Drosophila melanogaster: one gene and its partner. The protein of the gene in region 2 purifies or fractionates together with the protein of the main gene of each other region. This does not show direct contact. Each region holds a gene or a part of one and is shown on either strand. Other genes may lie near its edges. The genes, in order: Skp2 and Cks30A.

Evidence for each region.
Region 1: the proteins of Cks30A (region 2) and Skp2 purify together in Drosophila melanogaster (affinity purification with western blotting, with the first as the bait; one study listed by BioGRID). This does not show direct contact.

The regions. Positions count from the first base shown.
Region 1 is NT_033777.3:4,334,102-4,339,524, reverse strand, and holds Skp2 (S-phase kinase-associated protein 2), read left to right. Parts: upstream 1-1,850; 5' UTR 1,851-1,918; coding exon 1,919-1,977; intron 1,978-2,182; coding exon 2,183-3,056; intron 3,057-3,116; coding exon 3,117-3,516; intron 3,517-3,579; coding exon 3,580-3,739; intron 3,740-3,795; coding exon 3,796-3,982; 3' UTR 3,983-4,114; coding exon of another isoform or gene 4,115-4,408; 3' UTR 4,409-4,646; downstream 4,647-5,423. Other genes in the region: CG1103 (uncharacterized protein), read right to left, coding at 21-481, 1,222-1,453; CG14645 (uncharacterized protein), read right to left, coding at 4,115-4,408.
Region 2 is NT_033779.5:9,328,869-9,332,546, reverse strand, and holds Cks30A (Cyclin-dependent kinase subunit 30A), read right to left. Parts: upstream 1,785-3,678; 5' UTR 1,493-1,784; coding exon 1,437-1,492; intron 1,365-1,436; coding exon 1,196-1,364; 3' UTR 566-1,195; downstream 1-565. Other genes in the region: CG17005 (uncharacterized protein), read right to left, coding at 2,514-2,616, 2,770-3,468, 3,555-3,678. UniProt on the Drosophila melanogaster protein: Binds to the catalytic subunit of the cyclin dependent kinases Cdk1 and Cdk2, and is essential for their biological function.

The DNA of each region.
Region 1 (5,423 bases), on a different chromosome or scaffold from region 2:
GGGAATCCTTCTCGCCTTCCTTAGTACAGCATTATGGCGGTCTTGTTTTTATCGTCACATGGCGCCTCCAGGCATTGGCGGTTGCGGAGGCCGAGTCGCTGGGCGTACAACAGGATGGCGATATTCAGCAGCACAACGACGGTGGATACCACGACCAGGTAAAAGCTGTAACCAAGATAAGCCAGTCCATTGCTGTACCAGTGCTGCTGCTGCTGCTCAGTTAAAAGAACGTTGTGTATGAAATATTGGTAGAACTGCACGAGCCAAGCTACAAACGCCACTATTTGCGCCCCCGCGGCGCATATGTTGGAAGTCAGGAGCAGCATCATTGTGCCTCCTTTTTTGGCCGCAGAGGCTGACTTTAGGACAGCGGCGATGGCAGCCACAGCGCAGGCCAGCAGTGCGAAACCGGTGCCCAAGGTAGTAAGTAGCCAGAGCCAGAAGCTAGTGTCGTCATTTTCTGTCCGAACAAAGGTATACACTGAAAATACGGTGTGAAATAACAAAAGTTAAACAGGATTGCTTTAAAAATTTTATATTTTATTTGCATCTCCAAAAGCTGTTAAGCTTCCACGACGTTTTTATTCTATGTTGCATATTTGTGGCTCGCAATATAATACCCTTGCAATTTTAAAAATTGTAAACCCCAAATTTCAACCATATTATATAAAAGCAAGTAAAATATGGTTCCCTATGTCCTCGCTTCTATTATATTTTTTGCGCCAAAAATTTCAATATTTTTCAATTTTGTTAAATAGAATGTAACTTCCCTTTAGCCCTAAAGTTTGTTGTGTCACTTGATTATTAATAAGAAAAACAAAAACAATTTTGGTTTTTACAATTTAATTTTTAAGCATATCCTTAGGATCTGCAAGATAAATAAATGTAATCGAAAAGTATACATAATGGTTAATTTTTGGATATGTCTGCACTGATCATGAGTATTATTCGGGTATTTAATTTTATCAACTCGCCCGATTATGTTTGTGATCTTCACAACTAAACAAATTTAAAAGTAAATCTATTTTTAACAACAGTCTTATCCAGGACAATATCGGTTTTCAACTAATACATGCCCCAATAATCAGCACATTTTCCTAATCGTATATTCATTCAGAAAGCGTCCCAAGAAGTTTAAAGAGGCTAATTCACGATGCAGGTAATGAGAAGATCACTCTCTATCTAGTTTTCCCTGCTATCTAGGCTACTTTGATTGCTCACCATCAACCGAATTTGTGCGGACTCCGAATCCGGGATTCAGGTGGTAGTTGCCGAAGAAGAGTCCGAAGTTGAATTCACCCTTGGCGTCCGACGAGTTCTTGCGGCGTGGAGTGGCCCGCACCCAGTGATTAGTGGTCATGCTGACGAGCAAGAGGCCAATAGCCAGGCAGCTGCCAAAGAAGGTGGAGAACACTAACGCCCGTGTGTGCAAGCTCATCTTGATAATGCTCATGGAAGACCGGTGGCATATGTAGAAGGCTATGCTGTTTTCACCATTAAGAAATGTCTAGGGCCCGACTCCAGCTGCAGCGAAGAAAGTTAGTAGGAAACGTTAGTAAGCGGAGGACGCAATGCCAGTGGCCTTGCAGCGTATTGCTTACCCTTTTATGACTATGTCGGCGGGATCAATTGCAAATATAGTCTTTGTTCGCGGAACAAAAGATTGTTGCACAGGTAAACAATTAATATAAACTGTCTTGCCCTTGTTTTTTTCTCAGAAGAGAAGACTGAGCGGATATTTTTTCTCAAAGAGTACGGTAGCATTAATTTGGGATTTGGTCTGGCAACCACGGCCCGTCTAGTATATTCGATAACGATACAATTCTCATACCAAAATGGCTCGACAACCCTGGTTCCATGCAAAAATAGCGCGAAGTTTTTGTGTTTACGGCGGTGAAAAAATAGATTTCGTGTAAATATGAGCAGTCGCAAGCACAGAGGCTCCGAAAACATGGAAAATTTGTGCCCGGTGACCAGGTGAGTTTTCCTTTGCTTGGGGTGTGGGTTCAAGCAGCAGACCACTGAACTGGTCGCGTGACGTCACACGCGCCACAAGTGTCCAAAAGAGGTCAAGAAAGTAACTTATTGAATTGCAGGGTTCTTGACCCTTTCTTTCATCAGCCATTCTGCTGATGAAGCACGATCGAACTGCACACTTTTAATAAATTTTCGACTATTGCAGAAAGCGCTCGACTAATAAGAACCACGTCTCTGTTGTGGGCGCTCTAGTTTCCACTACGAAGTCATCGCACTACGAGCACCCTTCCTCGCCCTCGGCACTAACTTTTGAGGCCCTAGAAGAGATGGGAATCGGAATGCTTGATTCCGAAGAAAGCAGCTCCTCAGCCCTCTCGGCCATCGCTTTGGCGGTTAGCGCCACCAGCGACGACAACTCAAATGAGACGACCCCGTGCGCCAGTGTGTCGCGCATGGCGCACCAGCTACAGCACACGCAACGGCTAAGTCTGGGCTCTACGGGGGACATCACACTGGATAGCCCAGCTGTGGAGGATTCACTGTCGATGTCCCGTCAATCGGCCGAGAAGCTGCAGATTCTGGCGCAGGCTAAGCGCTCGTCGTTGGGTTCTGAAGGTAGCGGCAATTCAAACTCGCCCAGCAAACGTTTGCGCAACCCCCTGGCTGCAGTCACCTGTAACAACCAGATTGATGGGACTGCTTCGCTCAATTTTCAGCCATCAACCAGCAGGTTGGCGCAAGTTCGCCAGGCAAAAAAGCCCTCGACAACAAATATTACAACCCGAATAGTGGCAGCGGACAGTTTCTTTGTGTTTCGCACCCCGGCCATGAGTGCCCACATCAACAGCGGCATAAACTACTTTGAAAGACTTTCAGACGAAATACTACTTGACATCTTTAAGTGGCTCCCGAAGAAGACGCTGCTGCGCATGGCTACCGTTTGTCGACGCTTTAACCGCTGCTCTCGCGATGAGACTTTGTGGACAAGGCTAGATTTGGGTTTGCGGACAATTAGACCAGGTGCCCTCGAGCAAATTGTACGGCGGGGAGTCCTTGTAATACGTCTGGCCCAGACTAGTGTAAGTTACATCTAACATTATGTTTTCGGGAAACAAGAGCATCTAATCTTTGAACTGTAGATCCAGGAGCCCGCATTTGCACCATATACAGAAGTGTTTAGGACCCGATTACAATATCTTGACCTGAGTATGGCTTCCATCACCCGAAGCTCACTGCTGACACTATTGTCCCACTGCCGCCAGCTAAAGAAAATAAGCTTAGAGAATATTGAGCTCGATGATGACATCTGTGCAGAGATCGCAAAGAATGAAGCTTTGGAGGCGGTCAATCTGACTATGGCTAGTGGCCTGACGTCCAACAGTGTTCGCCTGATGATGGAGTCACTTACCAGCCTAAGCAGCTTAAACATATCGTGGACTGACCTAAGTGCGGATGCTGTTACGGCGTTGGTTACCCACATTTCCCCCAACTTAATTCGGCTCAATATCGCTGGCTGCCGCCGCGTTTTGTTTGACTCGCGTAAGTAGTTCCCACCGTCTTCAATGATATATTTCCTTTTTGATTTGAATTTAATTTGTTTAGATGTTGCAACCCTGCAAAAACGGTGTCCTCAGTTGTTGGAGCTTGATCTATCTGATTGCAATAGTCTAACACCAACAGTCATTACTGCAATTATGAAGTTCAAGATGCTGGAATATTTGTCCGTCTCCCGATGCTATCTTATTCCAGCAACCAAATTTATGTAAGATTTTTCCAGCAAGCGTCTGATTAATCCCTACCCAGTCATTTTCCTTGCAGTGAACTTAAGAGTATGCCCTCGCTAACCTATTTAGACATATTTGGGATGCTGTCGGACACTGCAATGGAAGTCCTTGAGAAACAACTGCCAAAAATGGGTATAAACAAATTCATTCACAGTTCGGTATCCCGCCCGACTGTTGGCACGCGACGCACCTCCATTTGGGGTCTGCGCACGCGCGACTAAGTCTCGACTCTGCTGCTTCCGTTACCATTTGAATTTGTTTTGCTGCGTAAGCCACCCGTAACGCAGTTATTTTATTCTCAATTCAACAACATAAATAATCACATTTAGCTGTTCTTATTTTTGTGCGTTTGGTCACTGATCCGCTTCGCTAAGGGGCTCCACTGGTTTCTCCCATTCCCATTCCTCCCAGTTGACGCAGTTCTTGAGACTATCCATGAATCCTGTTTCGCTGGGGCACTTGATTTCAATGGCTGGTTTGTTAAGTGTCTCACACTTCCAATACGATGTGGCATCCCAATTGTTGCGGAAAACTACAATGTCTAGCTCGGCTTGGGTCTTGCAACCCGGCTGTCCGTCACCATCATAGGCGAGGGCAATGCCAAAAGAAATCACTAGTAGGGAGGTTAGAGCGAGCTGAACCTTCATCTTTCAAAAAATGTTCTATGGTCTACTGGAAGTACTCGAAGCCTTTTATAGTTACATAGTTGCAGCGGTATAGTATCCAAGTGCAGCTACTACCAGAAAATGCTTTTATAAATTGGCATTAATGTAAACACTCGAGAGAGGAAGGAAAAGATAACAGTACTTGCCCTTGACTCCAATCTGTTCAAACTAAAAAAGGTACAATGAGTCACCCAATTTTCCATTTAAAAATTCATTGTTTTTATACTATATTAAATATTTAAGAAAATAAACAAAAAATATGTCTTTTATCAAGGAAAGCATAATCAAGCCAATTCAAAACAAAATCATATAGGGAAACGACAAATATAAATATTTTCGATCTAGTTCGTAATCATAGGTTCAAGAACAAAGTTCGTATTGGACAGCCTGCCAAATTTAAAGATTCAGCAATATAAAAGTAACTAAAGCAAGAGAGAAGGCTATGGTCGAGTTCCTCGACTATCAGATACCCGTCACCCGTGGCAACATGGGTCAACTAACTTGCGCTGGGTATTTGTCTCTAGAATCTGTATGCTTAATCTCAACCTTCTAGCTTTTATAGTTCCTGAGATCTCGACTTTCATACGGACAGACGTACATGGCCAGATCGGCTATTGATCCTGGTCAAGAATATATGTACTTCATATGGTCGGGAACGCTTCCTTCTGCCTGTTTCAACGAATCTAGTATACTCTATTACTCTACGAGTAACGGGTAGAAATATAAAATTGAAACTATTTTGAGTCATCCCTCCAATTGGTAATTTTTTTATATATTAACGGAAATTTAAAGTGCGTTACAAAAGTAAAAATTCTTTTGGTGCTAGTATGCTTAACGGGGTGGACATTTCGGCGTTTTCCACACTTCTTGGGAAATCACTTTAGACAAATTTGTACCAATGTCGGTACTTAATAGTATTTAACTATAACTTACCTTTTGCCTTTGGTGTGAATAGGCTATTAAGCCAAAGAGTAAACATTCGTCGATTGTAACTCCC
Region 2 (3,678 bases):
GAGAGGTGAGGTGCTGCCATGGGCGCAGTACACACATTCGGACCGGAACTGTCGATCTTCATTTTTGACACTAGAAATTTCACAAGTCACACACCAGCGAAGATTGTTGAGGTTGGAAATTGCACACCAATCGGGTTGCTATGTTGTGGTATATAAATAACTGAATAATTAGATTCTGGTCGGTGTTGATGGACCCAAGTTAATTCAGAAAATGCCTCGTAATGAGGATGAGCCTTTGGTGGGGGGCCTAAGAAGCGGTCGCGTTAGAACAAGCTCTAGCCAATATTGAATTGAAAAATTTATATCCATCTATATAGCTGGGAAGATACAGTAAACAAAACGTTGTTCTAATAATTAGGCGATTGCGTATAATGTTTACTTACACGATTTAAAACGAAGCTCACGATCGAAATATAAAATCCGAATACTTCTCACTCACAATTACATATATGCTGGCGCTTGTGTTTCTCTATAACCATTTGTAACCCAAAACTTGATAAGAGAAACATACAAATTAATTCGATTAGGGAAAACTTCAAGCAATCAACGCTTCAAGCCTCACCATACATTAAAAATATTTATTTTAAGTTCATTATATTATGTGTAAACATATGTATTATTGATTAAAAATTTCAAGATCACAAATCAGATTTCATTTAAGCTTAAAAGAAGTGAGCAAAATTCTTCTTTTCGCTTCCGTTTCGAAATGGCAACATAAAGTATGATAAAATTCGTGCGAACTTGAGGAATGATTCGGAAACGGCACTAAGGTGTACGAAAATGGCAAACATCATTAGCTCTAGGTGCTACATATATAAAAGGGGATAATGCGGGGCAAACATGGTAAAAAGAGAGTATTACAAATGGCAAACTTATCATTAGCTCTAGGTGCTATATATATAAAAGGGAATAATGCGGGGCAAACATGGTAAAAAGAGAGTATTACAAAGCACAAACAGCACAATAAGTAGTTTCTAGGGGATTCCTGAGTACCTATGATAATGATGATGATGATGATGTTGTTGATGTTTGTGCAACAGTTGGTTGTTTGTTTGGCAGCAACCACCACCACCGCCAATACAGAATATCGGCAGCAGCTGCCGGATATATAGGTATGTGCTACAGGCTATGTGGTTTCGAAGTATGTGTATCTGATGCAGTTGTTGTTGCTACTGCTGCTGCTACCGCCGGTTATCTAATCCGTTTTGGGTCGCCGAAACAGGAGGATGTGGGGCTCCGGCTTATGGATCATGTAGTGGATCCATCCGCGCGACTGCTGTACGCCAATTGATCGCCACTCGGCCTCCGTCATCAGATGAGTCTTGGGCACCATTTTTACCAGCTCTTTTGGCAAAACCACATGTCTGTGGGATAAGGGTATTTTACAGTTGCTTCTCTGCATCCAAATGGTCGCGGGCGACAAGGGCGACACTCACCTGTACTCGAACTGCTCATCGTAGTACTTGTCGGAGTAGTAAATGTCCTTGCTCATCGTGTCTGCGCCTGGAAATTCCAGGAATTTCGATGCAATGGAAAGGCGAAGTGCGCGCTGCGGAATTTGGCGTCTCTTTTTTGGACCGTCGAAGGCGGCTCCTGCGGATTCGATGTCGCAACTTTAGCCGTGGTGTTGAATCAATTGGCAAACACTGCAACTGCTTTTTAGGTACGAGTTTCTCGGTTTTTATCACTATTCAGGTTGATTATTGTGCTGGAATTTACGTTTGGTTTGGAAATTTTTAAAATCAAGTGACGCGCTAGATATAAGTGTGACCGTACTAATAGAATTGAAAATTACCATTTTTTACAGGAAATACAATTTCAGTGCTCTCGCTTAGTACGGGTTGGTGCACTCGCTATATAGTGATGGAGAGTGACCGTTTGGGTTAAATCGAAAAATTGCCAAGCGCGGGAAGTTCAAATTTTGAAGTTATCTAATATGTGTACGAATAATCTCATTGTTAACTTCATAGCAATAACAAAAGTAATTTTAATAAAAAAGGTTAAGGGCTATTTTTTTTGCATATATATTTATTTTTTATTTTTGTATTATATCGGATGCTAATGCTAAAGTTTTAATAAAATATTTACTGCTAAAAAATATCGTTTTTATATTTAAACAGTAATTAATTGCAACAGATTGCCCAGTGCAATCCAAAAGATTGTGGCTACACATGCGAATATTAAGATACTAAATGGGCGAACATTTGACCACTTGTAAGCTTTCCGCACAAACTAAAAGCAAGCGTTGAGTTATAAATACTCGCGTAAAGTTGTCTGACCATTGCTATTAAACTCCCCAAACGGCCACGCCCCCTGTCTGTGTGAAAAGCCCTAAAAGGCCGTATGCAGACACATAAATTCGGCAGCATTTTTGGCGTCGGCTTTCAACTCGTGCGAAATCTTACATAAATTTCCGGCGCGGACAACCCACAACGAAGTGGAAAGCATCGCGCGACCAGGAAAACCACGGATACGAATTGCAGGAGAATGCATTTATTTAACGGAGGGAACACCTAATGGTTGCGTTCGTAGTACTGCGACGGAATAAAGACCCAGTTCTTGGCCAAGTCGTTGATGGCCTCCTGCATCAGCCGGGACAGCAGATCCATGATGTGACTGGAAGTAAGGAATCTATTAGTATTTCAAATAAATTATTTGAATTATGATTTAAGGCTATTTTATAAACAAAAACCAGTAGATATTGCAAAGTGAAAAACAATTTGTCGTCTGGTTAAGTAATGCCCTATTAGACTCTCCACGAAAACTTACTTTCGATCAATTTCCGATGCTGCCTCCAGGGGAGTCGTCTTATCCGGGGACACCACTTGCTCGTAGGTCTTGACCACCTTCTGCCGCTTGCGCTCACCATTGATTCGCATGAACTTGGACTTGCTTAGGTACTTCCAGAATAGCTTCTCGAAAATGGTTATTCGCTGATCAATGGCCATGCTGAGCTCGATGATCTCGTTGGGATTGAGTTTGTTCTTGGCCACCAGTCGGGAGATCAGCTCCTTGCGCTCGGCCTCTTTGCGCTGCTCCTCGGTGTTCGGTGCAGGTGTCGATGGACCGTCACCCGAGCCGTTGCCTCTCCTGGCTTCCCCAGGACCAACTTGGCTACAGGGTTCGGGTCCAGCCGTGGGGTCGATCCTATCGCCCGGTTCCAGCTCCTCAGAGTCCAGAGCGGGCTTAATATTGGTGCGGATGTTCAGGTGCAGATAGACGTGCTCCACGTAGCTGTCCTCTTTCCATTTGGGATCGTCGATGGACTCCACCTCCTCCAGCTCCTGCTTGGCTATGATGGTGGCGCGATCGAGAATGCGGTGCACCTCCAGAACGATGGGAATGCGGCGGAAGTGGACCAGTCGGTCGAACACCGTCACTCTGATCTCGCATAACTTCGAGTGATGGCCTTTGAGGCGGAAAATAGGCGGATTGAACACTACCGCAAAAAAATCGTTGATTATGTAGCTGGAACGGGTAAGTAAATTAAATGGGAGCTTTGGTTTAAGTACTTCTTCTGGATCAAATGGGTGCCACATCTATATTTAGCTTACCTCTGCCACCGGAACTCCATGCACTGCTGTCCGTAGTTATGGACATTGACGAGCTGCGTCCGATCTTCACGCAGGCAGATTTCAAAGTTTACTCTATTAGGGTAGATGACGTGCAGGAAGTCGA